Pelodiscus sinensis: one gene and its partners. The protein of the gene in region 2 interacts with the protein of the main gene of each other region in a pairwise test. Links are inferred from orthologs where the notes say so. Each region holds a gene or a part of one and is shown on either strand. Other genes may lie near its edges.

Region 1 (7,141 bases), on a different chromosome or scaffold from region 2:
CCAGCCACTGGGAGCTGGGGAGGACAGTGCCTATGAGTGAGAGCGGCACGCTGAGCCACTTGCGCACCTCAGCTTAGGACTCAGATCTGCTAGTGGCTGCTACCGGGGCACAGGATGGTCTAAGGCACCAGGGAAGGCGGGAAGCCTGGCTTAGACTCCCCGCTGCTCTGCTGACTGACAGTTGCTGGGGGTGAGTCCATGCCCAACCTGGCACCCCAATCCCTTGCCCCAGCCCTAACCCCCCCCCCCCACACACACACTCCAGAGCCCACACACTAGTCAAAAGATAGAATTATGTCAGGCCATGCAAATCCACATGCAGGGTACCACCACCTTAGGATGAGAAATCCCTCTTTTAGGAGCCATTAGGGAGTGGAAGTCAAAGATGAGAACTCAAGAACTTTAAAACTACCCCTTAGAGCTGGATAGTTACAGCCAAGCCTCAAACAATGCTCTTCAGAATCAAAGGATTGCTTCAAAGTTACCCCGAGCCTGAATTTCACCATTAGAGATACACTGGAGGAAGATGTGTTGAAATCAAACAGGTGTGGGTATTGTGGGGAAGCTGAAAAATCCTAGCTGAGAGAGACACGTATAGAAAGCATAATGCCATCTGTGACGTCTCTTGGCGTAACCTGTTCAGTAAGTCATTCTCTTATGCCCTGCCTCAGGTGTGAGTGTCTTGCTTTGTTGCAACTTGGTGTTAGCTCCCTGACACTGCCAACTTGTTTGTCACGTAAGCATTTGCCTGTGGGCTACACCAGTCTTGTCTTTGAACTGGTGAACCTCAGTTTCTGTCTCTTTCAATCATTCCTCTGTGATATCCAGCCCCTGCCACTGGTTACTCACAGAAATACCCAAACTTTTGCCCCCTCCTCCAAGAAACAGTGTGACCCAGTTTAGTAGTTTTGTGTTAAATCACTGCTCGTGTTAACTGTGAGTGCTTATACATCAACTTACCTTTTTTTAGTGAAAAAAAATGGAGAATTAACTAGAAGCGGGGAGAGGGGTGTAGAAAAGCATTTATAGCACGGATCATAAAACACAAACCTGGGTCTATCCTTATGAAGTTACCTTCTTACCTCATGAAGTAGGCTTCCCCCAAAGTTCAGCCTGTTGCAGACCTGGCTGGCTGGAAGCAGGATCCAATTTTTCAGGAGAACCAGGATGCATCCTCAGTGAAAGGTTGCATATGTTCCCCCCCTCCTCTGTTATAAGGAAAGTCTTTTATCTTTATTTATAGACAGGACAAACTGGTCTGCTGTAATGTTCCTTTTTTACCTCCAAGTGGTTTGGATTGTTTGCAGTCACTGATGATATTCCATTGATAGTCTTGGGAAGAAATAAGGCCAGACAACTGAGCCTTGCATTACCTCACTGGCTAAACGTGGCAGGATGATAGCTTCCCTCCTTGTGGAATCAGCCAGCACCAAGACTTATCTTCTGGTCACAGACTTCTACTCCAAGTCCATAAAGCATACTTCCCATCTAGTTACACTGTTTCTAGGCATTATTCCTGGTACATACATCTCACGATGATTGTATCTTGATAGTCATACGCTTTATGCAGATGCCTTACACATATTACTTTTTATGGATAGATATACTGCAAGACATGTTTGGAGTAACAAATCTATTAGGTCTGAGATTTATTTGCAAAGAATAATGGACCATCTAACATCTCAGGCCAAGTTTACAACTAGAAACTTTTGGTGGTATTGCAATTTGGTTTAGGGGTAGGATTGCACTGCATCATTTCTACACCTGCAAAAGCCCTAGCATAGATGTAGCTTTACTGGACTAAAAGTGCTTTTGCTAGTATAGCTTACTTTGCATATCAAACTTGCATAATCTATACTAACAAAAGGACTTTGTTTTGCCTGCGTAAGCTGAATGCGTGTAACCTAGGAAGGTTCTCATATGAATATACAGGTCGGACCTCCCTTGTCCAGCACCCTCTGGACCTGAGGGGTCCTGAACAATGGAGTTTGCCGGACAATGGGAGGTCAAGGCTCTGTTCCCAGTTGGGGCTGCGCTCCCTGTCACTGCCTCCAGCTCCACTCTGTGCCAGTCCTGCCCGAGGCTGCGTCCCCAGGACAGGGGCTAGCCCCATTACCCCCAACCCCAGCAAGTGCTGTTCACCCTGTTCTCCCAGTGCCAGCCTGGGCTGCACTCCTAGTGGACTCCAGCCCCGGCCGGGACTGTGATCCTGCATTGGACCAGTCCTGGCAAAGGCTGTGGTCCTGACCCCCGGCCCTACTACCTCCAGTCCTGACTGGGGCTGCAGTCCTTGCTGCCAGCCCTGGCCAGGGTTGTGCTCTTCACCGCGCTGTACCCGCTGGGGCTGAGCTCCCCATCGCCAGCCCTGCCCTGGCTGTGCTTTAACCTGGACAGCTAGGGCTCTCTGGTCCAACAACATTCGTCGTCCTGCTGGACCAGAGAGTCCCGGATTTTAGAGGTCCAGACTGTACCCGTGTAGCTACCTGCAAACCTTTTTGAGTGTAGACTACACTTTAAATTACAAGAACGTAATTTTATAAACAAAATGTATTTTTCACCATATAAACTGTTTGTTCATGCTTCTCACCCAGCTTTGATAGAGAAATCAAAGTAGTTAATTTCCCTTCTATTTATAAGTTAATTTCACCTTTGGATTCTCTTTCACTAATAAAAAGAACCCTCTATCATATTTAGTTGTAAAATACAGCAGAGAAATATTTAAATCTACCCTTTACCACAAAATAGCATTTTATTTTAAAATTGAAAATTTTATGGAAATATTTCTATTCCTTTTGTGTTTTGAAAAGTCCTATTGAATTCTAGCAAAGCCTAAATTTTAGTCTTGCACTAAGAACCCAATCCTACTTATTCACTGGCTATCTACTCAGAGGGTAGCCCTGCTTATATGTAGCTTTAAAAGCAATGAGTAGTCTTGTGGTACCTTAGAATATGTGTATACTGCAGGGTTTTTCTGGGATATCAGAGGTATCCCGGAAAAACTCTGCTGTATCCAGGGAACATGTTTGCTCTCCCACTTTTTTTTCCGGAAGTGCAAATGCGCTCTTTTAGAAGCCCTGTCTTCATTTCATGAGGAAGAAAGGATCTTCTGAAAGAGGGGGATTTTCTGAAATTTGGCCCAGTGTAGATGAGCCAAATTTCAGAAAAGCCTCTTCCAAAAGAGCTTTTTTTTTTTTTTCTGAAAAAAAAGCTGTAGTGCAGAGCTAGCCTTACAGACTAACAAATATATATATATTGCACCATGAGCTTTTGTGGGCAAAACCCACTTCATCGGATGAGCTGGAGGAGGGAGAACAGAAACCCAGAATTTACGACAGAAAAACTAGGGTTGTAAAAGTAATTCAACTGATTTCAGTGGGCTTAGTTACCTTTTCCATACTATTCAGTGCAGGTGTGTGGAAGGAGCGGGCAGCTCATGTTCTCTTCTGTGAGCATGCTGTGCATGCACCACACCCCCCAACACTGCACGGGGCGAGGAAAGCAATTCTAAATATAGCCCTTTGCCCCGGTGACAACTCATCTCCGCCCGCTCGCTTCCTGCCCCCCACGCAGGTTGAGGGGGAGGGTAGCAAGGGGGGGGGCAGCCACGTGTGAGTGAACCCAGGGCGAGGGGCCCGCGTGCACCAGTGACTCCGGGGGAGGGGGGGGCATTGCCCCCCAGCCCGGGCCGGTGAGTTTCGGGGGCGAACCCCACGAGCTGCACCCCCCAGCCGGGGCCGGGCGGGTAAATGCCCCTCCCTGGGGCAGACCAGGGACCCGCTCGCGCCCACGGGGGGGGGCTCCACTGCCCCGGGGGTGCCCGGCGCTGCACAAACAGAGCAGCCCGGAGCTGCCCCCCCCATTGCACCCCCGCGCTCGGGCCCCGCCCCCCGCAAGCGCCCCTCCCGGAGCGCGCGGGCTGGGGGGTGGGGGGGGGAGCAGCGCGCGCGCCCCTCGGCCCCGCCCCGCCCCCTCGCCTGCGGGGCCCCGGCGGCGGCGCGCGCGCTCCCGGGCGGCAGGGCCTGCGTGGCAGCTGGGGCGGCGCGCGCCCGCGCGGCGGGGGAGCCGAGCAACAGGCGCGGGCCCGGGCGGGGGCGTCGGGAGCGCGCGGCGAAGTTGTGGCTGGGACTCGCCGCGGCGGAGCGTGGAGCGGGGGCCCCGGGACTCGCGCCCGGCGGCAGGTAAGAGCCCCCCCTCCCCCCGCGAGCAGCGCGGGAACGGGCCGGGCTACGGACACCGGGGGGGGCACGGACCTGCGGGGGCTGGGCAAGGCCTGTGGGACGGGGGGGCACAGGGGCTGGCTGGGGGGGCACAGGGGCAGGGCAAGGCCTGTGGTACGGGGGGGCACAGGAGCTGGCGGGGGGGGGCTGTGGGGCGGGGGGGCACAGGGGCTGGCGGGGGGGGCTGTGGGACGGGGGGGCACAGGAGCTGGCTGGGGGGGCACAGGGGCAGGGCAAGGCCTGTGGTATGGGGGGGCACGGGCTGGCGGGGGGGGGGGCTGTGGGACGGGGGGCACAGGGGCTGGCTGGGGGGGCACAGGGGCAGGGCAAGGCCTGTGGTATGGGGGGGCACGGGCTGGCGGGGGGGGGGGCTGTGGGACGGGGGGCACAGGGGCTGGCTGGGGGGGCACAGGGGCAGGGCAAGGCCTGTGGGACGGGGGGGCACAGGAGCTGGCTGGGGGGGCACAGGGGCTGGGCAAGGCCTGTGGTACGGGGGGGGGGTGGCCATTGACCTGCAGGGGCTGGGCAAGGCTTGTAGTGGGAGGGGGCCCGGGGTGGCCACTGATGTGCAGGGCTTTGAGGAAGATTCCTGTCTCAGTGGCTCTTGGGCTTGCTGCTGTTCAGCCGGGGCCAGGGGGAAGGTCCATCTCGCAGGCAGATGCGACTTGCTCTCTTCTCTTGGGACACCTGTCTTCGTTCTGTCACTTTTTGAATGTATGTAATGGCCAGGTTAGGGGCTGGCTCAGGAATGGTGTGCTGGAGCCTTTGCTGCTGCCTAAACTTGCTTGCCTAAGTTTCCTTTGGTGGCCACTTCGTGTGCTATCCGCACAGGGGTTTTGTGTGTCTTTAGGATAAAAGGACTTTCCATGTCACTTTTATACTCATAGAGTGAGACAGGGAAAAGTCCTATTAGGACATATTATTTCTTCCCACCCTCTCCAGAGCTAATGCAGGATTGTTTCCTAATGGACATTCTTGTCCTTTGTTCATTTTAAATGTTCCAGACAAATAGGGTGTCCATCACTTCCTCTGGGGGACTAGTCCAAACGGGTACGTCTACACTGCACGGCTATTTTGGGATACCAGAGGTATCCCGAAGTAGCAACCCCACATCAACACAAGCTGCCCATTATTTTGAAATATTTTTCAAAATAACAGGCATACTATTTTGTCATCCCGGTAAACCATGTTGCACAAGGGATAAGAGATGGCTTGAAATGGAATGTTATTTCGAAATTTGGTGCTGTGTAGACACACCAAATTTCAAAAGAAACTATTTCAAAAAAGATTTGAAATAAGATATGCAATTTGCGTGTCTTATTTTGAATTTAGGGTGCTGTGTAGACTAACCCTAACAGACTAGAACTCGCTGTCAGGAATAAGTGTCACAAAGTAATGTGCTAGTGCGGTGTTTCTCAATCAATGGCACGAGTACCCTTAGGGGTACTCAAGAGAAGTCGGGGAGGGGAGGAAGTACGTCAACACAACTGAAATTTGGAGAAAATGGAATTTTTGTTTTAAGTTTTACAGCGCTTTATTATTTTTATACTTTTTACACCCAAAAATTTAATTGCCCGCCCAGCTACTATTAAGATGTTTAAACGAATGTGTTGCAATGGTAGAAAATTTTTGTGTGTGTCTGAAAACTGTAGGTACTGGGGGTACTTATAATTTTTTTTAAAAGGGGGTACTTTTTTTGGAAAAGAGGTACTTCACAAAAAAAAAGTTGAAAAACGCTTTGCTAGTGTACTGGGATCACATGGACATCAGTCTTAATGGAGGGGAAAGAAACAATGTAAATAGGAAGGCAGACAGGAGGAGATAAGTAATTAAAGGAGTTGGAGAAGTGTTGAGTGGTAGTGCCATGGCTTCCTTTGGTAATGTGACTTCCCAAATGTATTGCAACTCTTGAGTTTTGAGACTAACACTTATCTGGATGAATTTGAGGATAGATTGAAATAACACTAAAATGCAGTATGTTCTTCTTTAATGGAGGTTTGTTGATATATAAGTGCTGTTATGAAGGGTGTTAGCAGGCAACATTGTTTCAGGAGGTAAGCAAAGTTAAAATTTCTCTAAAAATAGGGCTATTTGTGTGGTTTTATGTGGGTTGGTGTCAGGTTGCTTTTTTAAAAAAACATTAGAGATGGTGGTGCTGTCTGACACACATACTTTAGCCAGCGGTTTCCGTATATTTCTGTTCTGTTCTGGAAGAGCCAAATCACCTCATGGAATATGTTCTCAACCATCTTCTAAAACATTGATTTAAAGGGAGTACTCTGGGGTTTTCTGGGGGAACATCAACTCATCTAGATATTTGAATAGTTTAGTGGGCTACATAAAAAGCAGTAGTGAAGTCTGTACAAACTAAAATTTCATAGACAATGATTTGTTTATACTGCTCTGTATACTATACACTGAAATGTAAGTACAATATTTATATTTCAGTTGATTTATTTTATAACAGTATAGTGGTAATGAGAAAGTAAGCCATTTTTCAGTAATAGTGTTCTGTGTCACTTATCAGTTATATTTGATTTTGTAAGTTTTAAAGTAAGGTGCAATGGGATACACAAGACATATCAGACTTTAGAAAGAAGTACAGTAATCTGGAAATATTGAAAGCCACTGCTCTAAAATCTCTTACCTTCTCTACTTTATTCTCTTCTGTGGTTTCATGGGCCATGCACGGAGCTCTGCAATTACTAGTTAGTGTATGGACTCTACTCTGAGAACCTCTCTACCATCAGACATTTTCCATTTGGGGACTCTTCTGTTATTGGGTTTTAACATTCTGCTGAACATTTTAAGGGAGAGGTGCCTAGCTAGTCTTAGAGTGCTTTTTTTTCTGTTATTCTTAAATGGTATAGTATCTGGAATAAAATCAGTACATTTTAAGACCCAAAAGCCATTTTCTTTAACAT
Region 2 (7,158 bases):
TACAGTTTAAGCAGAAGAAGCCTTATGGTTTTTATAAGCATCATGGTATCTAGTACAATAGTTCTCAACCTTTCTGGGCTCAGGACCAATTTGCTCCAGATGCTCCAGTTAGATTCGAATGGTTAGGGAAACTCCAAACCAGCAACTGGGAGGAGAGGAGAGGATGGATGATGAGCTGAACCTCCCCAAAAAAATCATAGCCCCTAACTAGTGTTCCTTCTGGTTCCCTCAGCTTCACAGTTGATTAATCAGCCCCACCCAGTCAGAGGCTCAGGGCTGCCTGCATAGAGCTGACTGGGCGGGGATGTGAAGCTGTGCTGCAACGCAGCTTAGAGAGAACACTGCCCCCAACTCAACCAATGGAGAGGCTAAGGATAGGGAGAATTTGTAGGTGGCTGGAGAAGGAACTGGGGGCAAAGTAGTGATGTAAAATGTTAACCGGTCACCCGGTAAGCAGTTGGCTTACTGGAATGCATACTGGGTACCGATTAACTGGACTACCAGCCCTGTTGGCTGGCCGTTGGAACAGGCCAAGTTAAGGGGACACAAGCACTGGTTACGCTGCAGCGCCCCATCCGCACCTTGTGGGGGCAGGAGGAAACTTTGCCCACGTCACAGTAGCGCTGGAGGAACGCACCCATGCCATGGCAGCCATGGCCCGGAGCTTCTCTGCATAGCCCTGGATGTGGCCCCACTATGCCCGGTAAGACCCTCCCACCATAGTTGCTTTGCGCTCAACAATGGTTAACCAGCTAAAGAATGTAATTTTAATTGCTTAACTGGTTAACTATTTTGATCGGTACTTACATCCCAAGGGCAAAGGAGTTTGAGGTTTCAGTGGGAAGGATATGGAACATAGAAGTTTAGGGGAGAGACGGCAAGCTGACAGCTCCCAAAAAAACCACACAGCCTCTACACACAGAGGCTAAGTGGGGTGAAGAGGGAAGTTCAGGAGTCGGGGTCCATGACAGGAGGTAAGACAGTAGGAGAATCTCATAGTTGTGGGAGAAGAGTACATGACAGAGGGGTAACTGAGCCAAACCACAGTGACACTGCTAGCCTATGAGCCGGGTTACAAAGCCTGAAACGGGAAGCCACGTCTAGCCAGCCCTGGTCTTGCTTGGATGGTGATATACCTTTGAGTTGCAAGCCACATATTGAGAAACTCTGGTCTTATAGACACCATAACAGTCTGTAACCTCAGCCAACACAATCTATTCCCAGTTCTGTTAACCTTCAAGAAGTCACAAACTCTATCCACAAATCACCCCTTAGGCTAAATGTATTTTGTTGATGAATGCAACAGGAAAGGTCACTAACAGATCCTGGAATTTCCCTTCACTTTTGAAAATGAGTAATATTTTCCATCCCCATGTTTTTGCCTCCCATCCAATGTTCCCTCATCTTTTTCATCTATGTGAGGATTTTTTCCAGCCTTATACTGTATAGAAAAAAAAAATTGCATCAAGGCACATGTGAACATGCATCACCAGTAAATGAACAGGAAAAAAAGCCTAGCTGTGGGCATTCAGCTAATCAGCTAGGTGGCATTTCAATCTCTCCTCAGTGGCCACATTAGCTTCACTGACAAAATCAAATCCAGATATAAAATAACTTTCTTAAAACATTTTACTGTACTTGGTTCTATAAATGGCTTCTTGAAGGAGTCAGCATAAAGATATATGTACTTCAAATGCTATAGTGCAACAAGTTTGTTAGATGAATGGAGAGGAACAAATATATTGAAAATGTTTTAAAGGTTATTCCCAGGGTGGATAAAAATCAATAATTTATTAAATAAAAAAAAAGTTTTAAATTTAAACTGGATTTGATTTAAATCACATCTTCTATTTTTAAACCAATAAAATACTGACTCTCTCTTTTAAAAACAAGTTACAATTAAATCTCATGACAAAACATGCTAAACATGCACTTACAGTCTCAGAAAATTGAATTAATGGCTCTAGTCCGTCCAGCTTAACTACTCATTCTGGCTTCTTGAAAGTTGTGGGCTTTCAATTTCTGTTTCTTGGCAGACTAAAAAGTAAAATGGGCAGAAGACAGACACATACTGGATAGGACTGTTTTTCTTCTGTGCTTATGTAGTGGTGGACCTTGGCCAACCACAGCAGAGGAGTTCGTTCAGACACTGTCTTAAAGCAGGGGTGAGGAACCTAGGGCCCGGGGACAGGTTCTAGTGGAATAAAGTGGGTTTAAATGCAAAGAACTTAAGAACTGTTTGAATTAAAGTTTGAGGCACATTTTGCAAATTGCAAAGATCTATATCCGTTGTACTCCATACGTGTGGACAAATGCCATTCATTACATTATATACCAGTTAATGCAGCAAAGCCGTAGGTGAGACACACGCCACAGTCGGAAATGGGGGAAGTAAAAGCGACTAAGCCTTAGCTAGGATGGGTCCACTTTCTCAAGGTAACAGGACGCCCGGAGGGCCACACGCAGAGTGTGAGGGGCTGCCCATGAATCAGGTCAAGCGCTGAGATCTGGGGGCCCTTTCAGTGAACACGCGTGTTTCCTTATTACGACACATTACAGGATGCGGGTGGATCTTGGAGGTAACCCCCCCAAAGGGGGATCTAAGCAATGAAAGCTGCGCTGGCAGCAGGTGAAATGAGAATCGCTGCCGCCTGCAGGGGGGAGCCCCTCTGACCGAGGGGAGGGGATCAGAGTCCGTGTCCCTCCCCCGGGCGGGCGCTGCTGAGGAGGGGCTGGGGAGCTCGGCGATGGGGGGGGGGGGAGAGTAACGCCCCCGCCTCTCCGCCGCCCAGGAGAAGGACGGTCCCGCCCGCCCCTGCTAATGCCCGAGAGGGGAGCCCAGAGACCCCCCCCGCTGCAGCCGGCCGGCCAGGCAGCCTCGTCCCCTGCCCTCAGGGCGAGCGAGCGGCAGCGGCCCGCGCCCGCGTTGTCACTCACCGCCCTGGCTCCGCGCCGTGGGCCCCGCGCGCCGGAGGAAGCCCGCGAGAAGATGGCGCTCGCAGCCTCCTGTCCGCCGGCGGCCGAGGGCGGACGCTGGGTCCCGTTGGCGGCGGCGACACCTAGCGGCGGGAAGGGCCGCGCAGGTCCCTGGAGGTGGGGGCGGGATCAGGTGAGGGCCTGGCCCAGGCGCGCGCTAGGCTGGAGGCTCTGTGCGCAGCTCTCGGGGAACTGGCAGCTCCTTCTGCTCTGCCCTGTCCCGGGCCAAGCCCCTGTCCCTCCGCAGGGCAGTGGGACCACAGAAGAGGAGGGTTACCACCACCTGGCAGGTATCTGGCTCCACTGGCTGTTTTGGGGGTAATGTTTTAAGGATTTGCATTTGGCAGTTGCCAAAAAACAAACACCCTCCCCCCCCCCCCACTAATTTAAGCGGCAGGGTTTGGGGTTTTTTACATGGGGGCTAAAGAGTCGCATTTTTTGCACTACATGGGATCTCTTAGATTAATAGTTTCTGGGGCCAGCGAAAGATGCTACTGTGTTCTCACTTCTGCAATTTAACAAGCGGCAACAGATCAAAATTGTTGGTAATACAGCAGCTGTGTGCCCACCAACACTGCAAGTGTAAGGCCCATGTGGGAGAGGGTTTGAGTCATGCAAGAGTGAGGAGACATGCAAGGTTATCAATCTTAGGTATATGCAGAGGTGAAAGTAAGCCAGTACATAAGAGAGTGGCCAGCTGGGGATAGGGCTCTGGATGTTGCCAGCTACTCTGCATGGGTAAGATTCTGGTACTGGGCATGGTTGGCCCACTTCTCCCATTCTGACCTTCATCCCTCATAGCCAGAGAGCCAGAGTCCAAACCACTTCCACACATCCTCTCCACCCTTGTTCGCAACACCAAACAGCTGGGGATGGGGAGAGAGGGCCCCTGCCCTGATGGGCCCAAATCAGTACTCGCAGCTCCAGGACAGCACAGTCACAGTGCACTCAAGCTCCAGCCCCAAATTTCCATTCCCTGCCTTCATCTTGCACCTTTTCCCTTACAGATCTTCCCCACTGTTGGCACAAGAACCTTCTCTGCAGCCTCTGCCATTGAGAACAGTTTCTCACCACAGCTCCTGCCTTCCAATCTCATCTGAAAACATCTCTGCCCTCACTTTCTCTCTCCCTCCACTTATTTAAATTATAGCATTGCATCCTCTTAATTTCATTATCTAAAGAATCTGGGGATACAGAATACAGAGGCAGAGTGCTCTCCCTAATAAAGTTGATGTGTGGTACAATATTAGGGTCTGCCTGATCCCCCAAACCATTACTACCATGTGTCATCTTCACTCCCCATGATTACTCCTGTATGAGTAATGATTAGGGTATAGGGACCTTAGTTCCACTTTTGATAGACCAATATCTAGAGATCCTTTAACAAAAGGTGTGATAGTAGCACAAACAGTTATGTTACGTATTTATTATGAAATTCTTAACCCTGTCTTAACCTGACTCAAGGGTTTTGCAAAAATCAGTGTGCTAGTAGAAGATGGTCTTTAATACAAAGTCAGATAAAATTATTCTGGAAACACCTCTTTGGTGGTCACTGAACACATGAGGTTGACTATTGGAGGCGGTTCTTAGTGCAGTTTTGACTGTATTACCATCAATTTTCTCTATCTCTAATACAAGATTCTTGTGATTACTGTAGGCAGAGATGGTACACCATATACAGTAAAACTCCAATAGTCCGGCATCCAATTGTACGGCACTCCCGATAGTCCGGCATCAAAATGGCAAGAGCCTAATGAGTGAGCTTCAGCAAAAACAGAGTTACAAGGCAGCAGCGGCAGCAGCTAAACTGAGCGAAACTGGATGCGACTGAGTCAGTCTGCCACTGGCATTGTGTGACGCTGGACAGTGCTTGTGCTACAATAAAAAGAGTTAAAAACACTTTATATACAGTATATGACACATGTTAGGAGAGGGGATGAGGAGGGGTAGCTCACTTGATGAGTGGGGCTACTGGAGGAGTGGTCACAGGGGGGAGAGAAGGGCTGGGGGAGGGGGGCAGGTCTCAGGAGGGCTGAGGGCAGTGAGAAGGACAGGAGTCAGGACAGCAGAGGAGGGTAAGGGGTTGGGGGGCAGGAGGCATCAGGGGAGCTGATGGAGCAAGGGGAGGAGACATGGCAGCAGAGGGAAAAGGTAGACGTTTATAAGATATTTATTAATAACTTGGGTGATATTTATTAAGAACGTATTAGTAATTACTGTTCTTATTCTTATTAGGAATTTATGCCATAAAAAAAACACTTTTTTTTGGGCGGGGGGGAGGGTGGCGAGTCCCTTTTTTGTCTGGCGAGTAGGGTTTTCCATAATTTGTCGAGCCCTGTATATATATATATATATATATATATACACACACACACACACACACACACACACAGGCAGTCTCCGACTTACGCGGATCCGACTTATGTCGGATCCGCACTTACGAACAGGGCTTTTCTCGCCCCGCACTTATGAACGGGGCTTCTCCCGGTCTCCGTGGTCTTCTGGGGGGGTCCAGCAAAGCCGCTGGACCCCCCCAGCAGACCAGGGACACCCGAGCAAAGCCGCCGCCTGGCTTTGCTCATTTGCCCGGGAGTAAAGCCGCCCAGGCAGCGAGACTGCAGGCCAGGGAGAAGGGGAGCAAAGCAGAGCAAAGCCGCGGAGCACACGGGCAGCGGACAGCCCAGACGCATCTGGGCTGTCTGCTGCCCGCGTGTTCCGCCGCTTTGCTCCCCATCCCCCTGGTCTGCAGACCAGGGAGACGGGGAGCAAAGCAGAGCAAAGCCAAGGAGCCCGAGGGCAGCAGGACAGCCACGGCGCGTCTGGGCTGTCCCGCTGCCCCCGTGCTCCATGGCTTTGCTCCGAACGCCTGTGGTACAGCAGCTGGGGCGCTGGCAGTTGGTCCCGTAGCGCCGCTCTGGGCGCTACTGGACCAACCCGGCAGCACCCCAGCTGCTCTGCCCCAGGCGTCCTGATTCAGCCACTGCTGGTCAGTTTCAGCAGCGGCTGAATCAGGACGCCTGGGGCAGAGCAGCTTGGGTGCTGCTGGGTTGGTCCAGTAGCGCCGAGGAACGGCGGTGCTACTGGACCAACCCAGCAGTTCCCCAGCTGCTCTGCCCCAGGCGTCCCCAAGTCAGCCGCTGCTGAAACTGACCAGCGGCTGACTACGGGAAGCCCCTGCCCCGGGCTTCCTGGAATCAGCCGCTGATCAGTTTCAGCAGCAGCTGACTTGGGGATGCCTGGGGTTCTTAAATTGAATCTGTATGTAAGTCAGAACTGGCATCCAGATTCAGCCACTGTTGAAACTGATCAGTTTCAGCAGCGGCTGAATCTGGACGCCAGTTCCGACTTACATACAGATTCAACTTAAGAAGAAACCTACAGTCCCTATCTTGTACGTAACCCGGGGACTGCCTGTATATATATAAAAAACAAGCTTATAGTACCCCCTGATAGTCTGGCATATCTGATAATCTGGCACCACCTCGGTCCCAAAGGTTCTGGATTATCAGAAGTTTGCTGTATTATTAAAGCTGCCTGAAAATTCCTGTTATAAGACCCTGTTTTCCAATGGAGCTGGAACAATTTATATAGGTGGGATACTGAAGACCATTTAACCAATCTGATGGAAATGGCTTCAAACCAGGGGTGCAGCACCACCCCTAATTCCAACCCCTATCCTGTTTTCAGTTGTTTAAAACTCTGCCAAGTTTTAACTATTAGGGCTGAACATTTTAAAGATAGGTATGTATCTCAAACTGTATTATTCTGGAAAGTTTCAGCCAAAACAATTTAGGACTTTCCTGAGAAAGAGCCTATGGAAAACTGTAGGGGAGCCTGGACTACCCTGCCTTGGCAATAAATGGTGATGTCTACTTTGTCCAAAATGCGGATTTCTGGCCTGTTTCCATTCTGGTGCGCCAAAGCACGCAGGCAGGGCCTGAGAGTCAGGAATTGTTTTGCATAACAATGCAGATTAAGCATGGTATGCAAGACAACGTCAAGAACACAGGACAAGCAGCCTTGTACTGTTGCTTGTTTCTGATAAAGTAAAAAGTACAGATGCAGCCATAAAACTGTCAACTAAGCACATAGCAGCAACATCCTGAGTAGCAGGATGTACCCCAAATAGAGGCATTGGGCATTTTACGTATCTTACACAATACTTAATCAATTTGTAAATAG
Region 3 (7,457 bases), on a different chromosome or scaffold from region 2:
AGTGCTGCGCAGAGCCCAGGATCAGCTGGGGAGGCCCAGCTGATCCAGGGCTCTGCGTGGCAGTGGAACTCCCCAGCTGACCCCGGGTTCTGGGGAAATGCCATGCAGAGCCCGGAATCAACTGGGGAGTCCCCAGCTGACACCAGGATCCACTGCTGCCCCTTTGAAATGTGCGGAGATGGCATTTTAAAGGGGCAGCCACTGCACAGCTGATGCGCGGATCAGCAGTGCAGCGGCTGCTCCTTTGAAACGCCACCTTAGGGTACTTTGAAGTACCCCTTCCCCCTCCCTTTGCTGCCTCTATCTCAGAGGCAGAGGAGGGAGGGGAGGAGGAAATCAACTAGTAATTTAGTCAAAAGACTATCCGATAAGCATTTGCTTATCAGATCATCGACTAATCTTTAACATCCCTAGTTCTTACACTGTGGATTTGTGCTTCCAGAGATAACATGGTTGTTAACAGCAAAAATGTTTTAAAATGAGTAATATATAGAGATGAGAAACAACAGACCTGAATCCTATTGTCCTTTTGCAAATATGAGTACACAGAATCAGTCCCTTACCTCCCTCTCAAAAAGTGGAAAATTTTAAAAAGTTCAATGAAGGTAGGTGTTCATGCTAAATGCAAACAGTGCAACAAAGAAATGAAAAGCCTGGGGGCCCAAATAAAACATCATCATGAGAAGTTCCTTGTCAGGAGGAAGCTGTGTTGAAGATGATGAAAGGAAAATGTCTGAACATGCAGGATCTTCAGGTTGGTAAACTTTTATTTCATAAGCAACAAGGAGTCCTGTGGCACCTTACAGACTAACAGATTTATTGGAGCATAAGCTTTCGTGGGCAAAGACCCACTTCATCAGATGCATCTTCTGTCCTTGTGCCACTAGAACAAGGCAATTTTTCCATTTAATCTGTTCACATTCAGTGTCCCACAACCTTCAAAGAGACATGTAACCAATAATACTATTTCAATTAAGTTTCATCAAAAATGTTAATATTCCCTTCTGATCTTGAGTCAAAGTAGCAGAGAAGGGCTGTTTGTTCCCATCATCAGACCTAAGCACACCTACCACTCCACCGATCTCAAAATGCTAGTTGGCATTTCCAAGTTCTAGTCTAACAATCCACGTAGCTTCAGGGGGTAGCCAAGTTAGTCTGTTACACGAAAAAAAACAACAAATGGTCTGGTAGCACTTTGTTTTGTTAGTCTATAAAGTGCTACCAGACCATTTGTTGTTTTTTTTACCCTGCTTAGTATCTAACATCTCCATACGTGATTTTAAAGTTGGATGCTGGGTCTCCGGTTAGGAGCTGGTTCACCCTTCCTGGCCAAGTGCCACATTTTAATCAGAGAACTCATATTTCAGTCAGATAACATCCCAAGGAGCCAGGAAAGGGTGCTCATGGGAATGTTAAGGGCAGGGTGCCTGTTCCGATGCCAGCGGATTGTATAGACAGTGGGTGCTGGGTGCAGTGGGAGAAAGGGTGTTTGTGCAAGCTCTGAGTGTGGAGGGCTGGGTGTAAGATGTGAGAAGTTGTGCAGAAGTGGGGCTGCGGGTGGAAGGGGGCTGCAGGGAGTGGGGGCTGGGTGCCGTGAGTGGCAGTAAACTGGGGGGGCTGGGTGCTAGAAGTGGGGGAGCTGCATGGAGTGGGTGCTAGGTGCCAGGGGGAGGCAGGCTGCAGAGAGTGGGGGCTGGGGACAGTGCACTGGGAGGAGGGCTGGGTGCCGAGGGAGGGGGGCTGCAGGGAATGGGGGGGTCTGGGTGGCAGGTGCCAGAGAAGGTCTGCAAGGAGTGGGGGCTGAGGAGGGGACTGCCGGAAGGGCGGGTTGGGAGGGGGGGGGCTGCCGGAGGGCGCCGGGTGCCGGGTGGGCGGTACTGTCAGGAGTAGGGACTGGGGGCGGGAGGGGGGGGGAGCTGATACCGGAGGGGGAAAGCTGCCGGCAGTGGGCGCGAGGGGGCTAATACCAGGGGGAGCGGCTGCCGGCAGTAGGGGCCGGGGGGAGGCTAATACCGAGGGGGGGCTGCCGGCAGTGGGTGCGGAGGGGCTAATACCGGGGGGCAGCTAATACGGGGGGGGGCTGGCAGTGGAGGCGAGGGAACTAATACCAGGGGGGCTGCCGGTAGAGGGGGCGGGGCCTAATACCCGGGGGGGGGGGCTGCCAGCAGTGGGAGGGGCTAATACGGGGGGGGGAGGACTGGCAGTGGAGACGAGGGAACTAATACCGGGGGGGCTGCCAGTAGTGGGGGTGGGGGCCTAATACCGGGGGGAGGGCTGCCGGCAGTGGGGGTGGGGGGGCTAATATCGGGGGGGGCTGCCGGCAGTGGGGACGGAGGGGCTAATACCGGGGGGGGGCTGCCGGTAGTGGGGACGGAGGGGCTAATACCGGGGGGGGGGCTGCCGGCAGTGAGGGTGGAGGGGCTAATACCGAGGGGGGGGCTGCCGGCAGTGAGGGTGGAGGGGGGGCTAATACCGGGGGGGGGCTGCCGGCAGTGGAGGTGGTGGGGGGGCTAATACCGGGGGGGGGCTGCCGGCAGTGGGGGCGGAGGGGCTAATACCGGGGGGGGGGGGGCTGCCGGCAGTGGGGGCGGAGGGGGGGCTAATGCGGGGGGGGGGCTGCCGGCAGTGGGGGCGGAGGGGCTAATACCGGGGGGGGGCTGCCGGCAGTGGGGGCGGGGTGCTGGGGGGGGCTGGACGGGAAGCGCCTCACCCGGCAGCAGGCCGCGGCGCGCTGTGCGGCAGGCGCGGGGGTCTCACTCCGGTTCCGCTGCCGGCCTCTCGCAGCGCCGCCCCGCGTCTGAAGGGCGCACCGGGCCGCGGGCGGGGCTGGTGATCGCAGCCGCACGGGGCGCGTCTCCTCCCGCAGCAGGGTGGGGGTCTGCCTGGGGTCTGCGGGGGGCGGCGCCGGGGCAGGTCCAGCCCCCGGGATGGCCCCGCGCTCTCCCCTGGGGACTCGCTCACTTTTTGACTTTACACCGGCCGCGTTCCCAAGCCCCCGACTCTCAGACCAGGGTCCCGCCTGCAGGCACCGCGGCCGTGAAATGCCTCGTCACGGTGACTGTCCCGGCTCTGGCCTGGAGAAGGCTGCTCCCTTCTAGGAACTGGCTTCCCGGAGCGCTTTCCGATTGGTAGGCTAGCAGGGAGGGCTCCTGTAAGATATTGCTGCCAGCAGTAGCACAATCCTACAGGGCGGAGTTACACCAGTTCTTCTTCCAGTGCTTGCTCACATCCCTTCCACTTAGGTGCGCACCGAAAGTGCACAGATTGTCTGAGAGTTTCCTTAGCAGCACCTATGGAGTGGGTGTTTTCGAAGAGCTATCCCCAATACTCCAAGAGCTCTTTCTTGAGTGTTAACATTTCTCCTCTGAAACGTCCTCAAGAGCACAAAGGCTGTGTGACCAGGGATGGGACTCTTCTAGTGTGTCCTGGAAAGTCTCATCAATGTACCTCTCTGCCTTCATTAGCTCCTCCAATTCAGCCACCATGGTCTTCAAAGCCCATAGAAGGTCCCTGAGGGCCAGGAGCTTCTTGCACCTGCACTTGCACTTCTGCTGACGTGCACAGGCAGAAATTGTGGAAAAACAGCATCGCTTGCCTCATAATCTCAGTTGTGCAGACACGGCCGGCCCGAGCCCCTTTGGCACCCTGGGCCCAGGTGTGTGGCGCTGCCCCTGGGGCGCCGGCCACAGCCGCTGGCGCACAGTCCGGAACCTGCCCTTGGGGCACATGGCGCATGCGTGCACCAGCCATGGCCCCTGGCGCACAGCCCGGGGCTCACCCATGGGGCGCATGGCGCATGCGCTGCCCAGCCCAGCCCGGCCAGCGCTGCTAGCGCACACGCTGGGCCATGTATGGCCCCGCAGCCATAGGGGCAAGGGTGCTGTTGTCCGATGCTGTGGGGCTGGCACCGTGGGAGCCAGGTGCGCAGCTCCTGATGGCAGCTGTAAGAGAAGCCACGCACCCCTTACAGCTGCCATCAGGCACCCCCCCGTGGGTTGGCGCCCTGGGCAGCTGCCTGGCTTGCCCATGCCTCTGTCCAGCCCTGCGTGAAGAACGCAATGCCATCCACAGCCTCAGAAACAACTCTGACATTATAATCAAAGAGTGCTGTTGTCATCATGAACAGGTCTGACTTCCAAAAAGAGGCTGCCAGACAACTCTCCAATACCAAATTCTATAGGCCACTTTCCTCAAAGCCTACTAAGGAATGCACTAAGAAACTATACCATCTGCTCAGGACACTCCCTACACAAGCACAGGAACAAATCAACACACTCTTAGAACCCAGACCAGGGTTGTTCTATCTACTACCAAAGATCCACAAACCTGGAAATCCTGGATGCCCCATCATCTCGGGCATTGGCACTCTCACTGAAGGACTGTCTGGATATGTGGACTCTCTACTCAGATCCTATACCACCAGTACTCCCAGCTATCACTGATTTCCTGAGAAAACTACAATGCATTGGTGATCTTTCAGAAAACACCATCCTAGCCACCATGGATGTAGAGGCTCTCTCTACACAAATATCCCACACATAGATGGAATACAAGCTGTCAGGAACAGTATCCCTGATGATGCCACAGCACAACTGGTGGCTGAGCTCTGTGACTTTATCCTCACACACAACTATTTCAGATTCAGTGACATTATATACCTCCGTACCAGTGGCACTGCTATGGGCACCCGTATGGCCCCACAATATGCCAACATTTTTATGGCTGACCTGGAACAACACTTCCTTAGCTCTCATCCACTAACACTCCTTCTCTACCTACACTACATTGATGACATCTTCATCATCTGGACCCATGGGAAGGAGGCTCGAAGAATTCCACATCACCATCAACAGCTTCCACCTCACCATCAACCTTAGCCTGGACCAGTCTACACTGGTGGGAGGGATAGCTGAGTGGTTTGAGTATTGGCCTGTTAAACCCAGGGTTGTGAGCTCAATCCTTCAGGAGGTTCAAGGGATTGGTCCTGCCTAGAGCAGGAGGCTGGATTTGATGACATTCTGAGGTCTCTTCCAGCTCTATGAGGCCATTTGGGGCAAAAATTTGTCAGGGATGGTACTTGGTCCTGCTGTGAAGGCAGGGGACTGGCCTCAATGGCCTTTCAAGATACCTTCCAGTTCTAGAAGATAGGCAATCTCCATTAATTTACACAAGCGATCCACTTCCTGGACACCACGGTGCAAATAAGTGATGGTCACATAAACACCACTCTATACCGGAAACCTACCGACCTGGCTGTGCCTACCTTCATGCCTCCAGCTTCCATCCTGGCTCACCACACAATCCATTGTCTACAGCCAAGCACTAAGGTACAACCGCATCTTCTCCAACCCCTCAGACAGAGACCAACACCTACAAGATCTTCACCAAGCATTCTTGAAACTACAATACCTGCACGAGGAAGGGAAGAAACAGATTAACAGAACCAGACATGTACCCAGAAGCCTCCTACTACAAGACAAGCCCAAGAAAGAAACCAACAGAACACCACTGGCCATCACCTACAGTCTTCAGCTAAAACCTCTCCAACCCATCCTGGACAATGATCCCTCACTTTCACAGGCCTTGGGAGGCAGGCCAGTCCTTGCCCACAGACAACCCACCAACCTAAAGCAAATTCTCACCAGCAACTATACACTGCACCACAGTAACTCTAACTCAGGAACAAATCCATGCAACAAATCTTGGTGCCAACTCTTCCCACCTATCTACACCAACACCACCATCACAGGATCTAACCACGCCATCACTGGTTCATTCACCTGCACATCTACCAATATAATATACGCCATTGTATGCCAGCAATGCCCCTCTGCTATATACATCGGCCAAACTGGACAGTCCCTACGTAAAAGAATAAATGGACACAAATCAGGTATTAGGAATGGCAATATACAAAAACCTGTAGGAGAACACTTCAATCTCCCTGGACACACAGTAGCAGATTTAAAGGTAGCCATCCTGCAGCAAAAAAACTTCAAGACCAGACTTCAAAGAGAAACTGCTGAGCTACAATTCATCTGCAAATTTGACACCATCAGTTTAGGATTAAACGATGGCTTTGAAAGTACAAAAGCAGTTTCTCCTCTCTTGGTGTTCACACCTCCACATCAACTGCTAGAAGTGGGCCTTACCCTCCCTGACTGAATTTACCTCGTTATCTCTAGTCTTATTCGGGCCTGCATCTGATGAAGTGGGTCTTTGCCCACGAAAGCTTATGCTCCAATACATCTGTTAGTCTATAAGGTGCCACAGGACTCCTTGTCGCTTTTGCATATAGGGAAGATAACCATACATGCTATATTGGGTGCAATGAATAGGATAGCCTCCATTCTTGGTGATGGTCTTCTTCCTGCATTCTCTTTTTATCTCTATTGCTTGTTCTTTTCAACATTTTATTTTTTTTAATTCAGGCTGTTTTGTTTTCATTTTAAAGAACTTTAAAGACTTAAATATTTGGTACTCCACGAGGAGTAACGGTAGTTCGAACTAGGAAGCCTAGTCCGAACTACCTAGTTCGTGCCGTGTGTAGCTGCGCGGCACGGGGTTCCAACCAGCCAGGATTTAAAAATGGCGGCGCCCGGCTTATGCAAATGAAGCCTGGGAAATTCAAATCCCGGGCTTCATTTGCAAGTGCGGTATGCCTACATTACCCCGCTAGTTCGAATTAGGAGGGTAGTGTAGACATACCCTTAAGTATTAGTTACCTGGATAGTCGAGTAACTTCATGAATTCTTATAGGTTAGTCAACTAGTCTATAGTCCCGAAGGGGTGGGGCCAGCAGCCAGTGTGCTCTGGCTTCACTCCTGAGAAACCCCTGCCACTCTGTGCTGCTGCCTCTGTATCAGAGGCCGCAGTGCGGGGTGCCAGGTGGGGGCTGCTCCATGATGGGAGCTAGTTTAAAAATCAGCTCCCCTTGTGGACCAGCTGCCTGTCTCCCTCTCCTGCTGCCTCTTTATCAGAGGCAGCTTAGTGGGGTGGCAGCACCCCATCTGGGGTGTGTGTGTCTGAGCTCCTGTACCTGGTGCAATCTGGAACTGGGCTGAGTTTCCTGCCTTCCTGGCTCCTAAGACACTTCAAATGCAGAAACACAGTGGGGGTAGGTCCCAGACCCAGTGTGAAACAGGACTAAGCCAGGCTGCCTTCCCACCCAGCTTCTAATACACTTTAAATGCAGAGCTAAAAAATTTACTGGCAAGGTCGGGGGTGGAGAAATGTGTGTAGTCTATAGCATTAACCTATAAGCTTTTGCTTTTTGGTTAATCGACTACTTATTACGTCCCTAGTCTACACTGCATGCTTATTTCAAGATAAGCTATTCTGGAAGAAACATTCCAAAATAGTTTATTTCAAAACAGTGCATCTATACTATAGGGAAGCCTTGAAATTAGTCCAAGGCAGGCTCCCCTCATGTTGATGTACTATCTCTATTTAGAGCC

What was found.
Region 1: the proteins of XIAP (region 2) and NEK6 interact in binary tests that used the Homo sapiens proteins (3 or more experiments, as listed by UniProt). The two-hybrid records come from large-scale screens. The link is inferred for Pelodiscus sinensis from reciprocal best matches to the Homo sapiens genes XIAP and NEK6.
Region 3: the proteins of XIAP (region 2) and CASP10 interact in binary tests that used the Homo sapiens proteins (3 or more experiments, as listed by UniProt). The two-hybrid records come from large-scale screens. The link is inferred for Pelodiscus sinensis from reciprocal best matches to the Homo sapiens genes XIAP and CASP10.

Annotation. Positions count from the first base shown.
Region 1 is NC_134732.1:24,211,890-24,219,030, forward strand, and holds the start of NEK6 (serine/threonine-protein kinase Nek6), read left to right. Parts: upstream 1-4,019; 5' UTR 4,020-4,178; intron 4,179-7,141. UniProt on the Homo sapiens protein: Protein kinase which plays an important role in mitotic cell cycle progression. Required for chromosome segregation at metaphase-anaphase transition, robust mitotic spindle formation and cytokinesis.
Region 2 is NC_134723.1:32,365,838-32,372,995, forward strand, and holds the start of XIAP (E3 ubiquitin-protein ligase XIAP), read right to left. Parts: upstream 3,059-7,158; 5' UTR 2,938-3,058; intron 2,038-2,937; exon of another isoform or gene 1,938-2,037; intron 1-1,937.
Region 3 is NC_134717.1:56,863,234-56,870,690, reverse strand, and holds the start of CASP10 (caspase-10), read right to left. Parts: upstream 3,123-7,457; 5' UTR 2,711-3,122; intron 1-2,710. UniProt on the Homo sapiens protein: Involved in the activation cascade of caspases responsible for apoptosis execution. Recruited to both Fas- and TNFR-1 receptors in a FADD dependent manner. May participate in the granzyme B apoptotic pathways.